Arabidopsis thaliana: one gene and its partners. The protein of the gene in region 1 purifies or fractionates together with the protein of each later gene. This does not show direct contact. Each region holds a gene or a part of one and is shown on either strand. Other genes may lie near its edges.

Region 1 (5,334 bases):
ATGCATATTGAGTATGGAAGAGACCAAGCTGATGAGTTATCAATCAATAGCGAAGCAGTCAATGACCCATCACCAGCAGCTATTCATTTGGGAGAAGCATCATCAGATTATGCACAAAGTTCTGTTCGAGGTAATAAAAGCTTTTTTACTCATATCCATACCAATCTCAACATAAGAAATGAAACATTCTTTTACTGCGGTCAAAATAATTGATTAGGTGTGGAGAATCTTCATTGTGGATGGCTAATTGATGAGGAGGAGACGGATCCTGAGGAGGAAACGGATCCAGAGGAGAAGGAGACCGAGCCAGAGGATCCAAAGGAGAAGGAGACGGAGCCAGAGGAGGATAGTGATGGTGATGATGATGAGATCATTCAGCTTACTCCAGAACCTCTTTGTGAAGAACTTCAAGAGCTTCTCAGGGAAGTACGTGGACAGAAGAGGAGGAAGAAAGAGATGAGGTGGGACAAGTAAAGGAGCTATGGAGCTCCTGTAAGTAGCAAATTGATATATATGTTAGGAAGCCAAATAGTAGTAGTAAGCTATAGTATTGTGGTGAAAAAAGGTAAAACGACCCATCTTAACATCTCTTGAGATATTGGTTTTTAATAATTTGTGATGGAGTAGAGAAAGCAGATAGTCTTTATCAGTAGTTGTATGAGTCATACAATAGTACCCGAACCCACTTATCCAAAGATCAATGTCGAAAGTGGAAACCAAATCCCTCTAAAGTAAATTGAATAGCCAGTCTAAAAGTTAGACCAAATCTGAAAGTCGGTTTAATTGCAATTATACCTTCTAAATGCAAGAACCAATATCAACCGGTACTTCATATTCTTTTGATTTTTGATTTGTACATATAAACTTTTTTTTGTACATATAAACTTAAATGCAAGTATAGCTTGACTTGTATTTTACACATCAGCGGAAAAGTTTGAGAGAGGAAGCATATTGTATTTCGTTTGGTTACAACTTTTGCTAACTTTTACAATAAATGGAATGAAATTTTTTTCCACTTAATTCCTCCTGAATAGAAAGAAATTGATGCAATTTTGTTCCCTTTTTAAATCCATGAGCCAATAAGTGCATCTCCAATTATATTCCAAATTTCACTCTAAATACTAATTTAGAAAAAATCCTTTTAATACCACTATATTCTCAACTCTAAAAGGGAGTGATGAATATGGTATGATATCATCTGTCACTTCATTTTGGAGTTACCCTTTACTTTTTATTTACAAAATATTTTCCTAAATTTATACTCATGTTCTTCATTTATGTGTAAACAAAATTATATAAATGAAGAAAAAGAGTTATTGTTAACCTTCTCCATGTTTTCATTATAAATTGATATGAGCATTGGTTACCGTTCTTTCGGATAAAAACGAAGTTTATCTCTTGAAAACATTGTTCCTTTCATATTCATATCGCATCAATATATAATTGAAAAGTTCATTTATGGTGATCGATCAAATATATAACAAAATAAAATGAAAAAATACTTTAACATTTTATATATAATTTTTGAAGACAAAAGAGCTGTTTTTTTGTCTTTAATTGATTGGTCAACTGTTTACATATTCATTTTTTTGGTATGAACTATTTACAAATTCATGAATACAAAAAATATCTCAAATTTTTTTTTACAAGTCGATCCACTTAGTTCTTACCGTTTTTTTGGTATAACCATTATTTTATAAAACATCGTTCCCGCTAGATTTTTATCGCATCAAACATAGCGTACTACAAACGGAAACGGTCATCTATGGCGATCGATCAAATATACAACACCAAAATCGAATCCAAAAAATAGTTTACTTGAAGTATTTATATGTTTTGCTTCACTGCTAATTCTATGGTTTTGAAATCCTTTATTCTTCTCAAAAAAAAAAAAAGTTTGTCAATGGTTGTTGACATGGTCTTGCATAATATGTGGATAAATATTTGTTTTAATCATTTTCATCATCATTGCATATTCCCAAGTGTTATCAATTGTTTGACAAATAAAGAAAAATTAAAATTGATACCTTTTTATTTTAGTTAATTAATAACGAAACTGAAAATATTTCTCCCTTTGCATGCAATGTGGGTTTTAAAGACGGAAGCTGAAGAGTGAAGAAGAACAAAAGATTTTTGAGAGAGAAAAGTAGAGTCACTCCAAAATTGTTCTCTCGCAATCTTCTTTCTCGGTTTCCTCTTTTAAGAAAAAGTCCGCCATTTTCACTCTCACTCAGATTTCTTCCCTCTTCTCACCTGCAAAAACCCTTGTTTCCCGCTGTTTCGTTTCTTCTCCGGTTGAGGAACCAAAACGGGTCAAATACGCAGCTGAATCATCGAATTCTTAGGTATTTTCGTCTTACCCAACTCTTATCTTTAGATGTTTTTCCGGGAAAAGAGCTCGATCATGACTCCGCCGTGTTTTTTTTTGGGGGGGGGGGGGTTTCTCCGAAATGGGTTTCAAATGTAGGTTACTCTAGGTTTGAAAGTTCGGATTTTTTGGTTCACTGTGTGTTACTACAGCTTCGATTTTGTGTAAACGAGTATAAAAATTGTATCTTTTACAGATTTGAGAACTTGTTCTTCAAAGACTTGATTTTTCTTTGTATCAAGTTAGTGAGCTCAAATGTCTTTGTTTCTCTGTTTGTTTACATCTGATAAGAGCTAACTCGGTCTCGCTGGTGTGTGATTTTCGCTCGTTAGGGTTTTTTCATGGAGGAAGAATCTACATCAGAGATTCTTGACGGAGAGATTGTTGGAATCACATTTGCTCTTGCTAGTCACCATGAAATAGTAAGTTATAAGAGTTATACTCTCTGGAATTGATCCATCTTGTTCTGCATCAATGTTTATCATGGGTTTTACATAACTGAAGGATTTCGAATAGCTAAAACCTCTATGTTTTGGTTATCTTTGGCACTAAATTCACTATAATTGTACTCAAGCTCTGTGTGATGCTAAGTGCTACACTTTTGCATATAAATGTTGTTCTGCGATATATCCTCTGTCACTATTCCATTTCTCACTGGACTGTAATTCTTTCTTGCAGTGTATTCAATCGATTAGTGAATCCGCAATTAATCATCCCAGTCAACTCACTAACGCATTCTTGGGGTTACCTCTTGAATTTGGTAAATGTGAATCTTGCGGTGCGACAGAACCAGATAAATGTGAAGGTAATCCAGTTCCGTAGTTGCTATATTTTTGTTCTTACATCATTTGTTGGAATACTTCTTCAGATATCGGTATTTGTTTCTACATTTTCAGGTCATTTTGGTTATATTCAGCTTCCAGTGCCAATATACCATCCTGCTCATGTTAATGAGTTGAAACAAATGCTGAGCCTTCTGTGCTTGAAATGTCTGAAGATAAAGAAGGCAAAGGTATTACCTCATTGAGTTTTCTTAAATTCCATGTGATCCACACATAAATAAACCATATAAAATCTCGACTAATCTTTTTCACCTTTCTGAGTACAGGGCACAAGTGGTGGTCTGGCGGATCGCTTGTTGGGTGTCTGTTGTGAGGTGAGTAATGGCATATACATTCTGATTGTTTCCTTTTAAGTTTTACCTGAAAGCAAGTTGATAGATGTTTCTTATGTGAACCTGGTTCAGCATTTAGTTAGTTTTTCTAAGTTTTCCTTCAACTAGTTGCATGTTAGAAAACTTGCTAATTCAAATCTAAATAGTATTTGTGCTTCTTTTGATCCATTCAGTGAAAGTAACATTAATCAATGCTTGTGAAGCAGTAGCTATTGGTATTTTCGTGGCATCATGAAACATTCACTGCTTTATGTTATTTTGGATGTTATTATTGCTGAACGTCTTGGATTTTTAACTACTATATTACTTTATTAGGAAGCTTCGCAAATCTCAATCAAAGATAGAGCATCAGATGGTGCCTCATATCTAGAACTGAAGCTCCCATCTAGGTCAAGACTGCAGCCTGGTTGCTGGAATTTCCTGGAAAGATATGGTTATCGCTATGGAAGCGATTACACGCGTCCCCTGCTGGCAAGAGAGGTTTTTACTTTCTTCTGTGTGTTTATGTTTCTGTTTATGTAGGATTTTATGGTGACGTTCTTTTTGTTCATTTGGAATCATTCTCTATCTTTAAGATCTTTTCTTTCTGGAAACTGATGATTATGTACTTTCCGTGTCCTTTTCCATATGGTGGGAAAACAAATAGGTTAAGGAAATTCTAAGACGGATCCCCGAAGAATCAAGAAAGAAACTCACGGCAAAGGGACATATTCCTCAAGAAGGATACATACTAGAGTATCTTCCTGTCCCGCCTAACTGTTTGTCAGTGCCAGAGGCTTCTGATGGTTTCAGCACCATGTCAGTGGTAAGTTGAAACTAAATTACTATGTTGAGTTGAATGCTTTGGCTTGTGTTGTAACCCCTGGATTTGTGTCATTCTTATTTTCAGGATCCTTCCAGAATTGAGCTAAAGGACGTTCTGAAGAAAGTCATAGCCATAAAAAGCTCTAGGTCTGGCGAGACAAACTTTGAGTCGCATAAGGCTGAAGCCAGTGAGATGTTTAGAGTGGTGGATACCTATCTCCAGGTGAGGGGTACTGCAAAAGCGGCAAGAAACATTGATATGAGATACGGGGTGTCTAAGATCTCGGATAGTTCATCTTCAAAAGCTTGGACAGAAAAAATGAGAACACTTTTCATCCGTAAGGGTTCAGGTTTCTCTTCCCGTAGCGTCATCACTGGAGATGCTTACCGACATGTGAATGAGGTAGGGATCCCAATAGAAATTGCGCAGAGAATCACATTTGAGGAAAGGGTTAGTGTCCACAATAGAGGTTATCTACAAAAGTTGGTAGACGACAAGTTGTGTTTGAGTTATACTCAAGGTTCTACGACCTATTCTTTAAGGGATGGATCCAAGGGGCACACTGAGCTTAAACCCGGGCAGGTTGTTCATCGCAGGGTCATGGATGGGGATGTTGTGTTTATCAACAGACCCCCGACAACACATAAACATTCTCTTCAAGCGCTTCGGGTGTATGTTCATGAAGACAACACCGTGAAGATTAACCCTCTGATGTGTAGCCCCCTCAGTGCTGATTTTGATGGTGATTGTGTCCATTTGTTCTACCCTCAGTCTCTTAGTGCTAAGGCAGAGGTTATGGAGCTCTTCTCTGTGGAGAAGCAACTGCTTAGCTCACATACTGGACAGCTGATTTTGCAGATGGGTAGTGATTCTTTACTGTCTTTGAGGGTAATGCTGGAGCGGGTATTTCTGGACAAGGCAACTGCTCAACAGTTAGCTATGTATGGCTCTCTGTCCCTGCCACCACCAGCACTAAGGAAGTCCAGT
Region 2 (8,433 bases), on another chromosome or scaffold:
TTCAAAAGTAATTACCCACCTATCTAGCAACAGGAAGTATTTCAGGCAGATAACTGAAACAACATTGGTTCCTAACATATAGATTAACACAGCAAATACCAAGGGACATGCCTGACAATAATCATAAGGAAATATCAATTTAGTATGCTTCCTAACATTCGAATATGGTTCATCTTCAGCACCCTCTAGCTACCTTCTTATTGACAAGCAGTTAAGATATGTAGATACAAAACTAATCGATAAAGAAAAAAAGCTGATGGCCAATCAATCTTAACTCTTAAACTTCAGTTTTTTCCCTAAGTTCTGTCATTTGCTTTAAAAACCTCTATTTCAAAAGTGTGGGGATCTAAAATAATAGCAATGAGATGCGAAGTAGTGTTACCTGTCTGTACGTGAATGTAGAAGGCGGGTCATGATACGGATCTACCACCGCAACTCTGTCACCGTACTTCTCCACAGATGATCTCCAAATATCAGGAACAGACTTCCATTCATTAGAGCTCAAAGCAGCCTCCCTTGGCAATGATAAGCGTTCTAAGAATGGCGAACACCGCCTTAACTCCTTCTCCTGAATCTATAAGAACGGTACACAATTGATGTTACATATAATTCAGGAAATGAACCATAAGGTAAACTTACAAGAACCCTATAAAAGCCTTTCAGGATCAAGCTGTTTAAACCCTGGTCATCAGAAGCAATTCAGCTTTCATAAGACAAGTATCCTAAACTAATAAGACTCAGAAGTCAGAGCCACTCGTTGTCTATTTTGGTGCAACAGCTAAACTTGAACCTTCCCCAAAGTCAATTCATTTCTTTAGATTACTTACTTCAAAAATCAAAGTGAAAGGAGCAATTTTTTAAGTCCACAAACCAAAAAGGAACTCGCCTTGGATTCGCAGCGAACTCGAAATCCCCTGCGTGAAGTTCTGCAGCCAAAAGCCTTGTAACCAAACACCAATCTCATCCCAGAAACTTGAAATTCAGGAGCTGAGGAGCAGTGAGAAACGAGAATCGAAGCTCCGAGAGACGTTGAAGCCATGGCTGAGGAGATAAGAGGTTATCGTGATGAAGTTGCTTGCATAGAGAGAATATATGAGAGGAGAAAGAGAGAAAGATGAAGAAGCAAAGAAAGGTAGAAAGAAAGAGACGAGAAAGTAGGTCGATGTCATGATTACGATTTTTCACAGGAAAGATCAGTTCCAAGTTGGTTGGCACCGCTACAGAAGCATGGCTTCTTCAGACTCTCAGAGATAATAAAACAAAAAACAGAGCTCAATACTTACACTTATATAATAACTTTTTATTTACTTATATATTATATTTCTATAATTAGATCAGATTTAACCTAATAAATCAAACTACCCATAATTATGATGTCCCAAATTTGGTAACTATTTGATGATTATTTCTAAACTGTAGGAGCAACCCCAACTTTGTATCTTAGCTAATTTTTAGGTATAAAAGTGATTAAATTTAATGAAACCAATAAACTTTAGCTAAGATAAACATCTTTATTAAGCCTCTCCGTCACTCACCAAAAAAAAAAACATCTTTATTTTATTTTTTTTGGTTAAACAAAAACATCTTTATTAAGATATTTTCTTAAAACTAAGAAAAGCATATGTGTTGTGTTTTGAGTGGGTAGACATTGTGTTGAAATAGTTTGTTGTTTCTTAAAATTCTAATCGTTCTTAACCATTGAAGTAGAAATTGGTTAAACTTCTTCCTAACTTTTCTTAACTTAGTAAAAACAACATTTTAATTTAAAATAAGCTTAAGATCCAAAATTAAAAATTAATTGATTTTAAACCATTGGGATTGCTCTGAGCTTTTTTAGTGAATTATGTGTTGTTTTTTTTCTTTGTGTTTTGGTCAAAATTAAGTTATATATGAAATTTATTAAACCAAACAACCAAATCGAATTAGATGTAAAAACCAAAATGTAGATGTTACAAATTTTGGAAAAAAAAAAAGATGTTACAAATTTTATGTCATGTGAACTTCTAAATATATTTCCTTTTCACTTTAAAATAAAAATAAAATAAAACTTAAACATAAAAATATAGATACCAAAGAGCAAAATTTAATAATATTGTCTACTAGTACTAGTGACGTCAATTTCTTCACTTCTCTTTGACTGCTTCGCTTAACCACTGAAAAAGTGTGCCAAGGGTTTTCTACGTCGAATCTCTCCGCATTCTCAGCGATTTTCCGGCGACGTTTACTCTGCACTCCTCCGACACCGCCGTTTTACTCCATCGTGCCAGCTTTAAGCAATCAAGGTACCTATTTTAGGTAATACGCTTTGATTCTGCTTTTAAGCATCGGAGAATATGTTATGGAGAATGATTCGGTTCTAAGGGAAAGTTGTTGATTTCGTGTTTGTATTCGCATGATTGCATTTTCGTGGTTCATGATTTTCACAGCTTTTTAATCAATTTCTCTGTCTTTGTTTAGGGTTTTTGTTCGTACAGTGTGTTTTGAGGTATGCCAGATATGGACATTGATGTGAAGGATCTTGAAGAGTTCGAGGCTACTACTGGGGAGATCAATCTATCTGAGCTAGGAGAAGGTTTTCTGCAGAGTTTCTGCAAAAAAGCTGCAACTTCTTTCTTTGATAAGTATGGACTTATAAGTCATCAGCTCAACTCCTACAACTACTTCATTGAACACGGGCTTCAGAATGTGTTTCAATCCTTTGGTGAGATGCTTGTGGAACCGTCTTTTGATGTTGTAAAGAAGAAGGATAATGATTGGAGATACGCAACGGTGAAGTTCGGAGAAGTCACTGTGGAGAAGCCTACTTTCTTTTCGGATGACAAGGAGCTTGAGTTTCTCCCATGGCATGCTAGGCTTCAGAACATGACATACTCTGCAAGGATCAAAGTCAATGTCCAAGTTGAGGTAACAGAAATTCTTTGTCGAAATTAAGTAACCTTGTCTGGATTTGATGAATGATAAAGAACACATGGTATAAGCTTATTTCTTGATGTTTCTACTAGACTCTTTCTGACACATATATGAAGATGTTGACATACACTGAGGTTCCTGTCATAGATTTCTCAATTTAACTTGCCATCAAATAATTTACTAAGGGTTAAGGAACATATTTGTCTGAAACTGGTTTCACTCTTTTTGGCTTTACAAGTTTTCTGTAATTGGATTTGGTTCCTTATTTGCATTCGCTGGATTTCTTACCTGAGCAAAATATCTAGTAAAAGAGATTTATTACAGTTACATGTTCGTGTGAAGTAGAGGTGTATTTCAAGCTTGGTTGTGTTTAAGATTGATGATTTTGTCTGCTCCCAATCTTTAGATGTTTCTTGTTTAAAATTTGAATTGTGATTACTTTTCCTTGTAGTGGTGGGTATTCAAACGAAATAAGCTTTAGTTTGTTTCATTTTAAAGTTTGGATGCAATAAAAGAAAAACATCTTCAGCTTTTTTTTTTATTTAGTTCTTCCCCACTGCCTCACTGTGCTTTAGTTTGAGTGTTTTATGCTTGTGTGCAATGACTCTTGTACTGTCAAACTTTTGATGATGTTTCTGTTTTGCTGTCCATGTATCTTATTCTTATAAATGTAGTTTATTGTCTAACTGCTTCTTCACTCTATAAATTGACTAGGTGTTCAAGAATACTGTTGTTAAAAGCGACAAATTCAAGACAGGACAAGACAACTATGTCGAGAAGAAGATACTGGATGTCAAAAAGCAGGACATTCTAATTGGTAGCATTCCTGTCATGGTGAAATCTATCCTTTGCAAAACAAGCGAGAAAGGGAAAGAAAACTGCAAAAAGGGGGATTGTGCCTTTGATCAGGGTGGATATTTCGTGATAAAGGGGGCTGAGAAGGTGAGTTTAACTAATACATACATATATGCATATTGCCATTCAATACGTACAATAACTTTATTTTCTATGCCAAAACGGATTTTGTTTGTCAGCAATCCATAAAACGGATTATAGTTACAATTTTCTATCATCAGATAATAGTGTTTATCAGCAAAAAGATGTTACAAATTAGACAATAACCTATTTGGTTCATTTTATTTTCCTAATGGAGATGAAGTAAGAAATTAAGAAACTTAACTTATTTATGACTTTGTATACTTCGTTAGCATCAAAGATATAAACTTTTTCTTTCCTTTCTGGCTTGACCATGAGGCCATGAGTATTCAAATCTTACAGGAAGCGTTCTTTGCAATCTTAGGCTCTGGGACAGATGATTTGACTCTAATATATTCTGGAAAAAATATTTTCAAGTTGTTATACTTCTCCCTAACGTTATTATATTGTTTTGCAGGTGTTTATAGCTCAAGAACAGATGTGCACAAAGAGACTGTGGATTTCTAATTCACCATGGACAGTCTCCTTCAGGTCCGAAAATAAAAGAAATAGATTCATTGTGCGCCTCTCGGAGAATGAGAAAGCAGAAGACTATAAGAGAAGGGAGAAAGTACTGACAGTGTACTTCTTGTCGACTGAGATTCCAGTCTGGCTCCTCTTCTTTGCGCTAGGTGTTTCGTCAGACAAAGAAGCCATGGATCTAATTGCTTTTGATGGTGATGATGCAAGCATTACCAACAGTCTCATAGCTTCTATCCATGTAGCTGATGCAGTTTGTGAAGCTTTTCGCTGTGGGAACAATGCTTTAACATATGTTGAACAGCAGATCAAAAGCACCAAATTCCCTCCTGCTGAAAGTGTGGATGAGTGCCTCCATCTGTATTTGTTTCCAGGCCTCCAAAGTTTGAAGAAGAAAGCTCGATTCCTGGGCTATATGGTGAAGTGCCTTCTGAACTCGTATGCGGGAAAAAGAAAATGCGAAAACAGGGACAGTTTCCGGAATAAGCGAATTGAGCTCGCTGGAGAACTATTGGAGAGGGAGATAAGGGTGCATCTGGCACATGCTAGAAGAAAGATGACCAGGGCCATGCAGAAACACCTCTCAGGCGATGGTGATTTGAAGCCTATTGAGCATTATTTGGATGCTTCTGTTATCACAAATGGGCTTAGTAGAGCCTTCTCTACTGGAGCATGGTCTCATCCTTTCAGGAAGATGGAAAGGGTTTCAGGTGTTGTGGCTAATTTGGGTCGTGCAAATCCATTGCAGACTCTGATTGATCTGAGGAGAACGCGACAGCAAGTCTTATATACCGGCAAGGTTGGAGATGCTAGATATCCGTAAGTGAATTCCACCTCCTCTGGTATATTTAAATATATCTCACGTATTTTAACTTACTGGTCTGGTCTGCATTTACTCCATTTTACATGTCTTCAGACTGTTTTAAAGATATTCGTAATAACTTTAATTCAATGTAGTATATGATGCCGATCACTGTTTCTGCAGTCTCTTGTCTGTGTATAATACTTATTTTGTATAGATGTTACTGCTATTAAAAAACTCTGATACTGTCTTTCTTGTTTCTTTCTCCCTTGGTCAATCTATCTGTTGAACTCTTGAGATTATCCATTTTGGTTCCTTTTCAATGTGAGCGGTTAGACAATTAAATCGTGTTGGGAAACTGAACTATAGCTGCATTGTTTGTAATGTTGGCCACAGGCACCCCTCTCACTGGGGCAGAGTATGCTTTTTGTCAACTCCAGACGGTGAAAATTGTGGTCTTGTGAAGAACATGTCTCTTCTGGGACTTGTGAGCACCCAAAGTTTGGAGTCTGTGGTGGAAAAGCTCTTCGCTTGTGGAATGGAAGAGCTGATGGATGATACATGCACACCATTGTTTGGCAAACATAAAGTTCTTCTCAATGGAGACTGGGTTGGATTATGTGCAGATTCTGAATCCTTTGTCGCGGAGTTAAAAAGCAGGCGGCGCCAAAGTGAATTACCTCGTGAGGTATCTTCTGTTTCAGCAAATCTCTTGCTATATTTTGATATTCTTGTGTTACTTGGTATTTGCTTTGGATTTTTCTGCTTCAGATGTGTCTATGTCGAATATTGTTTATATATATGAAACGTTCTCTGCAGATGGAAATCAAGCGAGATAAAGATGACAATGAGGTAAGAATTTTCACTGATGCTGGTAGACTACTCCGACCTCTCTTGGTTGTGGAAAATCTCCAAAAGTTGAAGCAAGAAAAACCTTCACAGTATCCTTTTGACCATCTTCTTGACCATGGGATTCTCGAGCTGATCGGGATTGAGGAAGAAGAAGACTGTAATACAGCATGGGGAATCAAACAGCTTCTGAAGGAACCAAAGATATACACACATTGCGAATTGGACCTGTCATTCTTGTTGGGTGTGAGCTGTGCAGTTGTCCCATTTGCAAATCACGACCATGGGAGAAGAGTTCTCTACCAGTCCCAGAAGCACTGCCAACAAGCCATTGGATTCTCATCAACGAACCCTAACATCCGCTGCGATACGCTGTCCCAGCAGCTGTTCTATCCTCAGAAGCCACTGTTCAAGACATTGGCGTCGGAGTGTCTTAAAAAAGAAGTGCTGTTCAATGGCCAGAACGCAATTGTTGCTGTGAATGTTCATCTCGGGTACAACCAAGAGGATTCCATTGTGATGAACAAGGCTTCATTGGAACGTGGTATGTTCCGTTCAGAGCAGATTAGAAGCTACAAAGCAGAGGTTGATGCTAAAGACTCAGAGAAGAGGAAGAAGATGGATGAGCTTGTTCAGTTTGGAAAGACACACAGCAAAATCGGCAAAGTAGACAGCCTTGAAGATGACGGGTTTCCTTTCATTGGTGCTAACATGAGTACTGGCGATATTGTCATTGGCAGATGCACCGAGTCTGGGGCTGATCACAGTATAAAGCTCAAGCACACTGAGAGAGGAATTGTGCAAAAAGTGGTATTATCATCTAATGATGAAGGGAAGAATTTTGCTGCGGTTTCTCTGAGACAGGTAAGTTCCAGATCATACTAAATCGAGCTGTTTTTTCAGAGAATGCATTCCTATGTATGAATCGAATGTTCCATTGATTGGCTTTTACATCTTACAGGTTCGTTCTCCATGCCTTGGAGATAAGTTTTCCAGTATGCATGGCCAGAAGGGTGTTTTAGGCTACCTAGAGGAACAGCAGAATTTTCCTTTCACGATCCAAGGCATAGTTCCTGATATTGTGATAAACCCGCACGCTTTCCCTTCTAGGCAAACACCAGGTCAACTCTTGGAGGCTGCTCTCTCCAAAGGAATCGCTTGTCCTATACAAAAGGAGGGTAGCTCTGCTGCATACACCAAATTGACACGTCATGCCACTCCTTTCTCCACTCCGGGTGTCACTGAAATCACCGAGCAGCTTCACAGGTACATTCTTCACATTGTCTCTTGGTTTTAGCTCGTAAAACAGAATATAAAATTATATGCTATAACAGATTTACATTTGCTTCCTATACAAATAGATGATATCATTAAGGGCAGGAACATATTATTGATAATATTTCCTCGTTGAAGATGTTTAAACTTGGAGACTTTGGCTACAGAATTTCCAAAAGTTGATTGAGCTAATATACTGCACAAGGCACTAAGCTAGATTTGAGCACCTTACTTGAAACATGTCATAGTGGATCTTTATTTTGTTTTCTAGGAGTACTAGAAGTGAGCATGAGTTATCTGTCTCTGTAAGACTAAAAAACTAAGAAGTTCAATGTTCTATGGTTGATTAATTTCTTGTATTGTGCCTGAAAAACGTCTAGAGAATACAGAAAAATAGGCTCAAGAGTCATGTACCAGTATATAATTAGTTAGAGGATTGATGCTGTGAGCCTTGTGATCTATGTATAATTCATTTAACCTTTCTTAGATTATTGTTGATTCTTGAGTCCTGATTCATTACCAATGGTAAATATTTGTGATTAGGGCCGGCTTTTCAAGATGGGGAAACGAAAGGGTCTACAACGGTAGATCAGGTGAGATGATGCGTTCTATGATATTCATGGGCCCAACTTTCTACCAGCGACTTGTCCACATGTCAGAGGACAAAGTCAAGTTCAGGAACACTGGACCAGTCCACCCGCTCACACGCCAGCCAGTTGCAGACAGGAAGAGATTTGGCGGGATAAAATTTGGAGAAATGGAGCGAGACTGCCTAATAGCTCACGGTGCATCAGCTAATCTGCATGAGCGTCTCTTCACTCTAAGTGACTCTTCTCAGATGCACATCTGCAGAAAATGTAAGACCTATGCGAATGTGATCGAGAGGACTCCAAGCAGTGGAAGAAAGATTAGAGGGCCATATTGTAGAGTCTGCGTATCCTCAGACCATGTGGTTAGGGTCTATGTTCCGTATGGAGCTAAGCTTCTGTGTCAGGAGCTGTTCAGCATGGGCATCACTCTCAACTTCGACACCAAGCTATGCTGATTCCCCCTCTTTATTATGTAAATGGCTTATTGCCTTAAGACCATGTTATGTGTAGTTTGCTTCAGTCCCGGTTCTGGTTAGTAGTATAGGTTTTGGT
Region 3 (4,869 bases), on another chromosome or scaffold:
GATAAACTGACTAATGAATGTCAAATATAAACCATGAAAAACACAAAGGACTTCAATGTATATATCCTCTTCACCTCGATAAATCTGAGAATCTCTTTGAGATTGGAACCATTTTCATCATTAATTGTTGATACAGCCTCAAAAACCATCGCATCATACCTTGCAACAAGGTAAAGAAGAACCTGTTAGAACTTAGAACATACCAATTCTAAAAAATCTCTAAATATAACAAACCTAGCATCATTGCTCATATCAGATGAACTACTAGGAGAAGCCTCATAGCTAACAACAGAACGAGAAGTCTCTGAAGGTGAAGTGAAAATGGAGGTAGATTCGAGTGATTGTGTCCTTGATTTCTTTATATTACGCCATTTATCCTTGAAATTTGGGCAATAAGAATAAACAATACAACATTAATACCCAAATTTCGACCTAATTCCACATAATAAATCTCAAAAATCGATTTCCATGGAAGACGAATGGGATTTTGGGAATTTTCGATTACCTTGAGGTTAATGTTTGTGCGATCTAGAAGTTGAGCCGCGAACTCTGGATCGTCTAAAATACTTGTCCATTTTCCGGAACCGTGCTTGGCTAGTCCGGCGAGAAGGGCTTCCTTCTTCCACCGTCCATTTATTCTTCCGATTTTCTAGTTGTTTTTTCTTTCTCTTCAAGTCGAAATATATACCATTTAGAAGGCCTCATCAAAAGCTTTTATTGGGCCTAAACATGGCCCACTATACAGATTTAAAATTAAATCTTGATCTGTTCAGAATTTTTAAGACTAATCTCGACCGTCCAAGATATATTCTCCCAGTCTCAAAGAAGCAAGAACACAAACATGGACTAGAGAAAACACAAGCATGGATTAGAGAAAACACTCTATTTTTGGCTCAGAATCTATTTTTCGAGCTTTATTGCTTCATATTGTTGTTAGAAGATAAGAGTGTAGTGAAAATTGGTTAGAGAAGAAACAAAACTGTGTCCTTGACCAAAAAAAAAACTGTGTCTTTGTCTGTGTTTTTTGTTATGTTCTTGGTCTCAATTGCTTATCTTCATCAATAGCTTAGAGCTACAAATAGTACATTTCACCGGACCGGAGCAGTCAATTTGTGGAATGGGATTTAAAACGGAACGGAAAAACTTGCTTTTGCACAAGAGTTGCTTCATGAAAATTGCAAGAGTTGAAGTAGTAAAAGTTAAACATTAGATCAAGCTCTCTATTAATTCAGTTTTTATCCGAAAAAATGGCACCTCACAGCTTCCTCATGAGTAGGAAGAGCCTCTGGTCGAGTTCGAAGTGAGAAATGTGAGCTGGATCTCCCTTAAGCAACATCAGGAGGCCGCCAAACGAAACATATAGCTCTCTGGAAACACATAATTTAAAGAAAATAAAATAAAACATGATGGTTTGATATGTGAGTTGAATTGGATTGAATTATTTTGATATGGGGGGGTTATATGGGATTCTTACGCTTTTGGAGTTTTGCCGTCACGCTCAGAGATCTTGTAAAGCTTCCCGTGCATTATGTATTCATACTTATCGGCAAGTGTTTTCTTTGCTCCCTGTAATGTATCGAGATGAAAACTAGATAAGATTAATGTTTAGATATGCATACACATTCTTGGTTTTCAAATTTAGATCTTGAAGATTCAAGAACTAAAGCTTGTTAAAATTCCATGTCTCCTCTTATTCCTAGATAGACAGGCTTCTCGAATCAGCCAACAGAGTTATAATATCAACCATTTAGCAGCATTAACAGTTATATCCTAACAAAATCCAGATACGGGTTCAAAGTTACCATTCATGGAAATTTGGCCAAGCAAACAAGAGACTGTGTATATACTCAAAACAAAACAACTAAATAAAAAGCAGTAGAGTTTATTACCGGAGTAAAATAACCGGTATCAGGGGTTCCATCGAGATTCAGCGTAGGAGCCAACGCAAGTGTGAACTTATCACCAACAGCCAATGGATAAACCTCTGTATTAACATCTAAATGCATAAACATTTCCAAGTTGTGGCTCGTAGCTTGAACGCGAGTAACTGTAACCACAAACACAACAAAAATCATTGTAGGTTTAAGAGAAAGCCACTCAATCTGAAGACAGAACAAAACTTGGGGGAGACTAAAAACTTAAAAAGTTAAATTTTTCCACAAAACCCACACACTCAGACCAAAAAAGGATAAACGGAAGAACTCATTCACAATACATACATGAACTAAACAGCTATGAACAAACGTCGATGTAAGCCATGAGAAGTACTAGAAATCGTGAGTGAGGCTAATAAAGTGTATACCTTTATCGAACTTTTTGCCATCAGGGTCTAACTGATCGACCACGAAGATATCCTCGAACAAGATGATATTGCTCGCCATCTGCAAACACGGAAATTCAAACCCTAAACACTCTTTATTTCCTTGATAAAACCCCAATTAAACCAGTAAACAAGACCTATATGGACATCTAATGAGTACAAGAATCCGAACTCTGAAATCAACTTATAAACAACCAATCGCATAGGAAAGTAAATAGTTCCGAACCAGGAGCTTGAGTTGAGGGAGAGATGGAGAAGCTTGAGATCAAAAAGTTCAGACTTTAATCTCCCAAGCGATGGGCGATAGAAGAGCCAAAAAACAATTAAAGGGACAGACTGAGAACAAAAACTCATAAAAGTCCTATGTAAGCTTATAATGGGCTTACAATGAGGCCCATTATAAAATTGTAATTCTCATAACTAATTTTTTTCTTTCTTGATCAGTATTTGAAATTAATCTCGACCGTTAAAAATACTTGCTAAAGACACCATGACACACTTTCTTTTTTTCTTTCTTATGTTATGTATTAGAAAAACCTATTCAATTCTTAAGATTGGCATTATCTGTAAAAACTTGTATTAACAAAAACTAACAGAATAGTCTGTTGCCTTCACAACCAAAATCATTTAACCACAAAGTAACAAACTATGACTAGTTAGTCAAATGAAATCACATTTCATATCTACACTCTTTTTTTTACTCAAAACCAAAAACACTAAAAAGAAACCGGTGATCGAATATATCCACCTTGAACCGGACCAGAAGGTCAAAGCTTTTACAGCAGGAAAATCTTTTCACCGTTAGCACCTGCAAGGACCAAATCAAATGAAAAAGTCAGTGATGATGATGATGATAAAAGGTTAAGAGGTGGACATTACTTACATCGATTAAGGATTTCTACGGCTAACTGCAAGGTTATGTTGCTTTCTAATTTTAGCAACTGGGCGTGTTTATCTGCAAGTTCGTATGCCTCTTTTGCTTCCAACTCCAAGTGTTCTGCCTCTGCGACTTCTTTTGCTAATGCGATTATCCGAGGATCTACTTCTGTTGTTGGTGGTGCGAAAGAAGCACAAGTACTTGGTGTGTCTTGTGCCTTTGTGCCCGTGGAATCTTCTGGATCCATGGTTTCTCTTTGATTTGAATCTCCTACTGACACAACTGGAGTATCAAATACACCACGGGGGATCTTGTAGAGGTTTCCTACCTGCATTTACAAGTTTTTTTTTCCGTTTTTCTGAACTGATCAAACAAAACTACTGAATCTTAACATTAGTGTGAGGCAACTCTGAAAAACTAGTTACCTTGTATACTTGGCCTTCAGAAACTAGATATCTCAGCTGGTTTTCCAACCGCTCCCTAAAATCTTCCTGTAACTCGTTCCTTTCCTGCAATTTATATTAACCACAAGAACATGATGGTTAGTTGATCAAGAACAACGGAGGAATCAACAAAACCAAGACTTTAAAAGGAAGACTTTTAGGGGATGGAACATGAAGTCAAATTTTCAGATCCTAATGTTCCATTGTGTAATCCCGCTATTGACTCACATTTCAGAACCAATATACACTACTCATGAGATATGACCATGAAACACAGATACTTATAGAGACAGAGAGATCCTCCTAACCTTGATAAAAGTGAAAATCGCATCGACATCAAGACCATTATGATTCTCGTAGACTGTTTCTAAAGCCTGAAAGATCAATTCATCAGTCGTAAACCTGAAACAAAACCAACAAAAAAAGAGTAATATCAAAACATAGATAGACCAGAGAAAACAAAGATTGGTGGTTAAAGAATCGAGAAGGTCACAAACCCAGAGGGACCCCGGTCTTCTTCTGAATCTATCATCATGAGCCTTTCAAGCTGTTCACTGAAAATGAGATAACAAATCAATCAAAACATAACCAGAAAAGCAAAGATCAATTCTAAAAGATTGGTTCTAAAGAATACAATAAAATTCACTAACGCATAGGAAGAAGGTTCTGAAGAATCCGTAGCCGCTGGAGAAGAAGGAAGGTCTCTGAAAAAAAGAGAAAGAAATTGACATTATTAGTTGAAGCAGAGCTTTAAGCATCGATCGATCTCTCTCATTTCCACAAAATTGGCTTTGGGAAATACAAAAGTTCACGAACCCATAAGTAACGTTGTTCGCATCCGATTTTGTATCTCCAGAAACCATGGCCACTGAAGAAGGATCGTCGCTGAACAAAAAGAAAGAAACTGACACGTTAGAGATCAAGCAATTGAAGCATCGATCTTTTTGATATCTTCAAAATTGCCTTCGATTGAATAAAACTACGCCATTTTCGTCTTGAAATCGCATGATATGAGACGTATTTGGATCATTCGTGTAAATCTCAAATCGGTTTCCATGGAATAAAATAAAGATCTTACTCGATAAAGCTTGAATTGAATGGGATCTTCTTGAAGAGTATCAATGGTGATCTATCACTTATATACCTGCGCTTCAGAGAAATCCAATCGCAGTCGTCTTGTCTCGCCGGAGAAGACGATGTAACTAACTCTCTTTCCCGCCTTTCTATTT
Region 4 (4,797 bases), about 10 Mb from region 1:
AATGTTGGTCTGGTATGAGAAGTTATGGGAAAGAGTATATTACAGCATTTTTAATTCGTGAATTTCATACCTGGAGCAACTTGACCTATTGACTCATTTACTCTCAGGTGCACTTAAATAATTTACGGCGAGCGCCTTAGCCTATTACTATTACTCAAAAATGTGGTCGAGAAATGTAAGATAAGGATTCCGGAAGCATTGGAAATTAAGTAGGAGGAAGACATAGAGTAGCCATTACAGTTGAGTGTTTAACACGTAAATAAATTAATTTAATTATTACTTAAATGTGTTAACCCATTTAACAACTCAACTCATCAAATTAAATGAGTTATAGTTTGATCCAATCTATTTAACAAAATGAGTTGGGTCAACCTATAACTCATTTAACTTTAAACTCATTTGATTATGAGTTGAGTTGAGTTGGGTTACCCATTTTGACACTCCTAGGTATCAGCATTAAGAAGAAACAAATATTTTTCATCCACTCACATTTTTTTTTTAAGTATACATATATATATCTAACATGTGGATATATATTATTTTTTTAGATAAATTAATAGAAAAATATTAACTTGGTTTTGTTAGAGTATCTCACTAATATAATATTAAACTTTTCAATATTAGTTTAATATTTTGTTTTTACCTTAATTAATATCAATTAAAATCTTTTTTCCTATATTAACTAACCCATTCTTAACAATGACAACAAAAAAAACGCCAATTACGAGAGAGTTCAACGACTAAAAATAACCCAACATAACAAGGTTCAGGAACACAAGGATCAGTCAGAGGTCGGGAACAAAGACAAGACTGCCACTTTACATGTTGCTATCAAACAAGGCAGTGCCGCTACGGTTAATATATTAGTCTGGTCTAGAAGAAACTTAAACCCTGATCAAACAGGTAAAAAAAGAGCTACGATTTCATCCTTCACGCATATGGGCACCGAGTTCACCAAACTGATCATCGGCTTCTACAGTGTTATCTGAGAGACGGATTGCATCAAGCTTCTGCTTCAGGATATCAATGGCATTTAGTACCAGCTGAGAAGCCTTCAATGCACCTGTGGACTCAACAGTGAATACAAAACTATCATGTTTCGGATGGATCTCAATGAGTCCCGGTTTCCCCATTGCTTCAGCTTTCTTGATCACTTCTTCATCGTAAGTGTATGCTTCAGGATCAACCACCACAACCTAAGAAGCAAAGTATTATAATTACAGTTGTGATGATTCAAACAATAGACTGCAAAAGAAATGAGCTAAACGCACTAAACACTTAAAGAAAATTCATACACCACATCACATACATATATTTCAAAGCATGGTAGCCTATAAAGTAGTACAATCATATTGAAGTCTCAAAGCTATAAACTTGTATAGATGTTATTCTTACAGAACATCGAAATTAACCTGTCCGGTGACTGGGTCAATGCCAAACACTTTGGTAGGACTGCTCTCAATCAAGTCAATTTTTTCCTCATCTGTCAAAGTGTTCATCATCTCTTCATTGATAATAATGTCAGGCTCATACATATACGTAACAGTAGCTGCAGGAGACCATTTCGCATGATCTTTCCCAATTCCTTTCCTAGCTAATGCTTTAAGCTTCAACTCTTGTCCCCTGCGTAGTTTCGCAATGATAATTCCCCTGAAACCAAAACAATAACAGTCTAAGAAACTGCAGAAAAAAAAGCCACAGAACTACCAAAAGGAAGACTCATGCAAAGGGCATCTAAAGATGTCAAATTTTGTTTAGCATTGTGTAATATCTAAGCTTAGCAATTCCAATCAATTCATAAAGAACAAATAATCACTACAATGATGAAAAGGGACTTACTTGTGCTCGCTTGAATCAGAAGTAGATGAGTTACTAGTGAAATCAACAGGAGTAACAGTAGGATCAGCACTGTAGAGATCCCTACTAGTAACATCTAGGGTTTGGTCAGTAACACACTTAGCACTAAGGGGAAACTCAACAGAGCAGAACTCGCAATGTTCATCTCCATTACAATCTTCACAATCTTGACAGAACCGCATGCTCATAGCACGCTCGCTAGTGAGAGGGATGAGACTAAGTCGTTGAGCAATGAACTCGTCGTTGAGAACAGAGGAATTAACCTCGATTTTGACGAGATGGATTGCCATGGTGGGGACTTCGGAGATCATTACGCGACGGAGAGCGTTGGCCATTGAAACGTCGGTTTCACGAAGCTCGAACTTGGCGTAGTCATCTTTAAGCTCACGGATCTTCACCGTTGGGAATCTTTGGTAGGTGACACCGTCCATTTCAAAAGCTGTTCCTTCTGACGACTCTGGGACTCTTAGGGTAATGACTTTTCGATTTCTTCGCCGGAGAAGAAGAAGAAATTTGGAGAGAGCAAAGTGAGTGAGAGTGGAAAAAGGTATAAGAAGAACTATAGTAGTTTAAGTTGGGCCTATATGGGCCTATTCTTTTGTTTACTGGGCATTTTCAGGCTTCTCATAACAGTTATTGGGAATGGTCAAAATGTCTACAATGGATTTTCTGTTTACATCAATTCAAATAATGACCCAATGTTATTTTAAGACTTTTTAATCTTTATAATTTGAATTACATAATAATAATTTTGGAAATACAAATATTAAAAAGAATCGAAATTCCATATTTTTAACAGTAACTTGGATTAAAAACATTATATAAAGAGTAAAAAGGATTAAAAATGCATTGGTTCATAAAGAATAATGGTAAATTTGTTGTTTTAATCTTTATATAGTGTTTTTCCAAAATTATTCTTTCTAATTACAATTAAAATTTTTTTACATAATTAATTTTAATGGTAATTATGTGAATGGTTTCGGACAATGTACAAGTTGTACTCATCATTATTCCGCTTATTTTCATAATTATTCCGCTTATTTTCATTGACACAATTAAATCTTGACCTAAATCTAAAAGATTACATATAATATATTTTATCCAACAGAAAATATAAATTATTTTTAAAAATAGAATTTTAGTGGGTTTTGGGGCTTTAAGTGCACTGATCATGTCTGGTCCAAAATTCTAATATTGCTTTCCTTTTTTATTTTTATTTTGCCAAGAAACCAATTCCGGGTTTAACTTCCTTGTAAAACCATCCTTTTCATATATATGATATTTGCAGTTTAGCCAAAAAAAAAAAGTTGAATTTTAATCAACATTTTTAAGCACGACGGTTTCAACTAGTAGTACCATATCGCGGGTTATACCATTACCGGAATTTATTAGAGATTTTCAAAATTTACCTGATTGAAAATTAGCGGATTGTAGTGTTGGAGCCAAACTGGATTAGTGACTGAGTCATCGGGTTTACCGGGCCAACCGCGGTTCCGCTCGAATCTGAATACATTTCCCTCGTCAAAATAAAAAAAGTCAGAGGACGATTGGTCGATGAGAAAAACATTTAATAAAGGAAAAAAAAATGAAAAAACAAATGGGGCCTTTGGAGCGATGTGATGACGTGGCAACCCCCGGAGACTTTCAAATAGCATATTGAGAGTTTTACATGCATGTGAATATCAAGGGTAACATCTAGAGTCATATGAATTGCGCGTGTTATGTCGTTGTTAGTCGTTCATGTTAACAATAATCTACGTATACCGTTTGTGACTTTTAAAACTAAGTTCATGAACCTATTACATATAGATCAAAATCTGGACCATAATTTTATTGGTGTATTGTTAGAAACTTAAAGTTCATATCACTTTCTCTATGTTTCGTGGCCTACTTGCAATTTTTTAGGAATCTTTTGACCATTAGTTTTTTAAACGAGTTTAGGACTTTGATCACTAAGGTAAATCGTTTAAACAATTTGGGATCACTTAATTATTGACATGATTGTATGTTTTGATTGGGCATGTCAAACAGATCTCAATATTTATGTAATTACAAATTATTGCATATTTCAATACATCAATGTCATGGTCTTCACAACGTGCCTGACAAATCCTAGTTGTTTGGATTCCAAATTGTTAATAATTCACAAGAGCTCTCCCATAGGAAGTTTCTTCGATAATTCTGAATATTATATAATACAAAATCACAATTTGGAGTTTAAAGACTTTTCTTCTATTAAACAAAATAGAGTCACGTTTGGAGTTCGTTGATAGTCACAACTTAACAATGACACATTAGAATATTCAAAGTTTTATCTTATTGATCAGTGATTGACATTAAAAGTTGTAATCAAGTTATATAAGCGTTGTAAACTCTTTTTGAATCATCTTCACAAACTAAAAGTCAACATGTATCATATATTTCAGATCTCCGGCGAAGTTATCAAGGGTTTGGGATTGAAGACGAAAATTCTGATAACCATCGTCTTTAGTACCTTACTAATTTTGTCTGTTATGTTACTTTCATTCTCAAACAACTTCAACAATAAACTTTTTGCTGCTACAATCAACGGTAAGAAAGAAAAAAATAAGCATCCATGTTTTGTCATTCATTGTTAGCTCAAAGAATTCTCCTTTTGACCTTTTTTTTTGTTATATGTTCAGACGAATCCGAAACACCGGGGCGGGATAGACTAATAGGAGGGCTTTTAACCGCAGATTTCGATGAAGGTTCTTGCTTGAGTAGGTATCATAAAACTTTCTTGTATCGCAAGCCTTCACCATACAAGCCGTCTGAATATCTTGTCTCGAAGCTTAGAAGCTATGAGATGCTTCACAAACGTTGCGGTCCAGGGACAAAAGCTTACAAGGAAGCAACAAAGCATCTTAGTCATGATGAGAATTATAATGCAAGCAAATCAGATGGTGAATGCCGATACGT

The links.
Region 2: the proteins of NRPD1B (region 1) and NRPD2A purify together in Arabidopsis thaliana (affinity purification with mass spectrometry; 2 studies listed by BioGRID, with this or other methods). This does not show direct contact.
Region 3: the proteins of NRPD1B (region 1) and NRPB8A purify together in Arabidopsis thaliana (affinity purification with mass spectrometry; 2 studies listed by BioGRID, with this or other methods). This does not show direct contact.
Region 4: the proteins of NRPD1B (region 1) and NRPE3B purify together in Arabidopsis thaliana (affinity purification with mass spectrometry; 2 studies listed by BioGRID, with this or other methods). This does not show direct contact.

Annotation. Positions count from the first base shown.
Region 1 is NC_003071.7:16,712,380-16,717,713, forward strand, and holds the start of NRPD1B (nuclear RNA polymerase D1B), read left to right. Parts: upstream 1-2,080; 5' UTR 2,081-2,345; intron 2,346-2,700; 5' UTR 2,701-2,709; coding exon 2,710-2,790; intron 2,791-3,046; coding exon 3,047-3,173; intron 3,174-3,264; coding exon 3,265-3,380; intron 3,381-3,476; coding exon 3,477-3,524; intron 3,525-3,857; coding exon 3,858-4,022; intron 4,023-4,188; coding exon 4,189-4,347; intron 4,348-4,431; coding exon 4,432-5,334. Other genes in the region: AT2G40020 (Nucleolar histone methyltransferase-related protein), read left to right, coding at 1-130, 218-474. UniProt on the Arabidopsis thaliana protein: DNA-dependent RNA polymerase catalyzes the transcription of DNA into RNA using the four ribonucleoside triphosphates as substrates.
Region 2 is NC_003074.8:8,567,874-8,576,306, reverse strand, and holds the start of NRPD2A (nuclear RNA polymerase D2A), read left to right. Parts: upstream 1-2,097; 5' UTR 2,098-2,295; intron 2,296-2,457; 5' UTR 2,458-2,487; coding exon 2,488-2,904; intron 2,905-3,624; coding exon 3,625-3,852; intron 3,853-4,303; coding exon 4,304-5,184; intron 5,185-5,563; coding exon 5,564-5,855; intron 5,856-5,986; coding exon 5,987-6,880; intron 6,881-6,977; coding exon 6,978-7,282; intron 7,283-7,834; coding exon 7,835-8,336; 3' UTR 8,337-8,433. Other genes in the region: AAE16 (AMP-dependent synthetase and ligase family protein), read right to left, coding at 383-574, 887-1,039. UniProt on the Arabidopsis thaliana protein: DNA-dependent RNA polymerase catalyzes the transcription of DNA into RNA using the four ribonucleoside triphosphates as substrates.
Region 3 is NC_003070.9:20,252,722-20,257,590, reverse strand, and holds NRPB8A (RNA polymerase Rpb8), read right to left. Parts: upstream 2,654-4,869; 5' UTR 2,547-2,653; intron 2,382-2,546; coding exon 2,303-2,381; intron 2,048-2,302; coding exon 1,890-2,047; intron 1,567-1,889; coding exon 1,475-1,566; intron 1,368-1,474; coding exon 1,256-1,367; 3' UTR 903-1,255; downstream 1-902. Other genes in the region: AT1G54260 (winged-helix DNA-binding transcription factor family protein), read right to left, coding at 75-159, 235-251; AT1G54240 (winged-helix DNA-binding transcription factor family protein), read right to left, coding at 3,097-3,128, 3,204-3,525, 3,623-3,706, 3,949-4,042, 4,138-4,194, 4,291-4,344, 4,457-4,503.
Region 4 is NC_003071.7:6,710,513-6,715,309, reverse strand, and holds NRPE3B (DNA-directed RNA polymerase family protein), read right to left. Parts: upstream 2,416-4,797; 5' UTR 2,289-2,415; coding exon 1,840-2,288; intron 1,651-1,839; coding exon 1,413-1,650; coding exon of another isoform or gene 1,392-1,412; exon of another isoform or gene 1,197-1,391; coding exon 924-1,196; 3' UTR 701-923; downstream 1-700. Other genes in the region: FUT4 (fucosyltransferase 4), read left to right, coding at 4,266-4,428, 4,521-4,797. UniProt on the Arabidopsis thaliana protein: DNA-dependent RNA polymerase catalyzes the transcription of DNA into RNA using the four ribonucleoside triphosphates as substrates.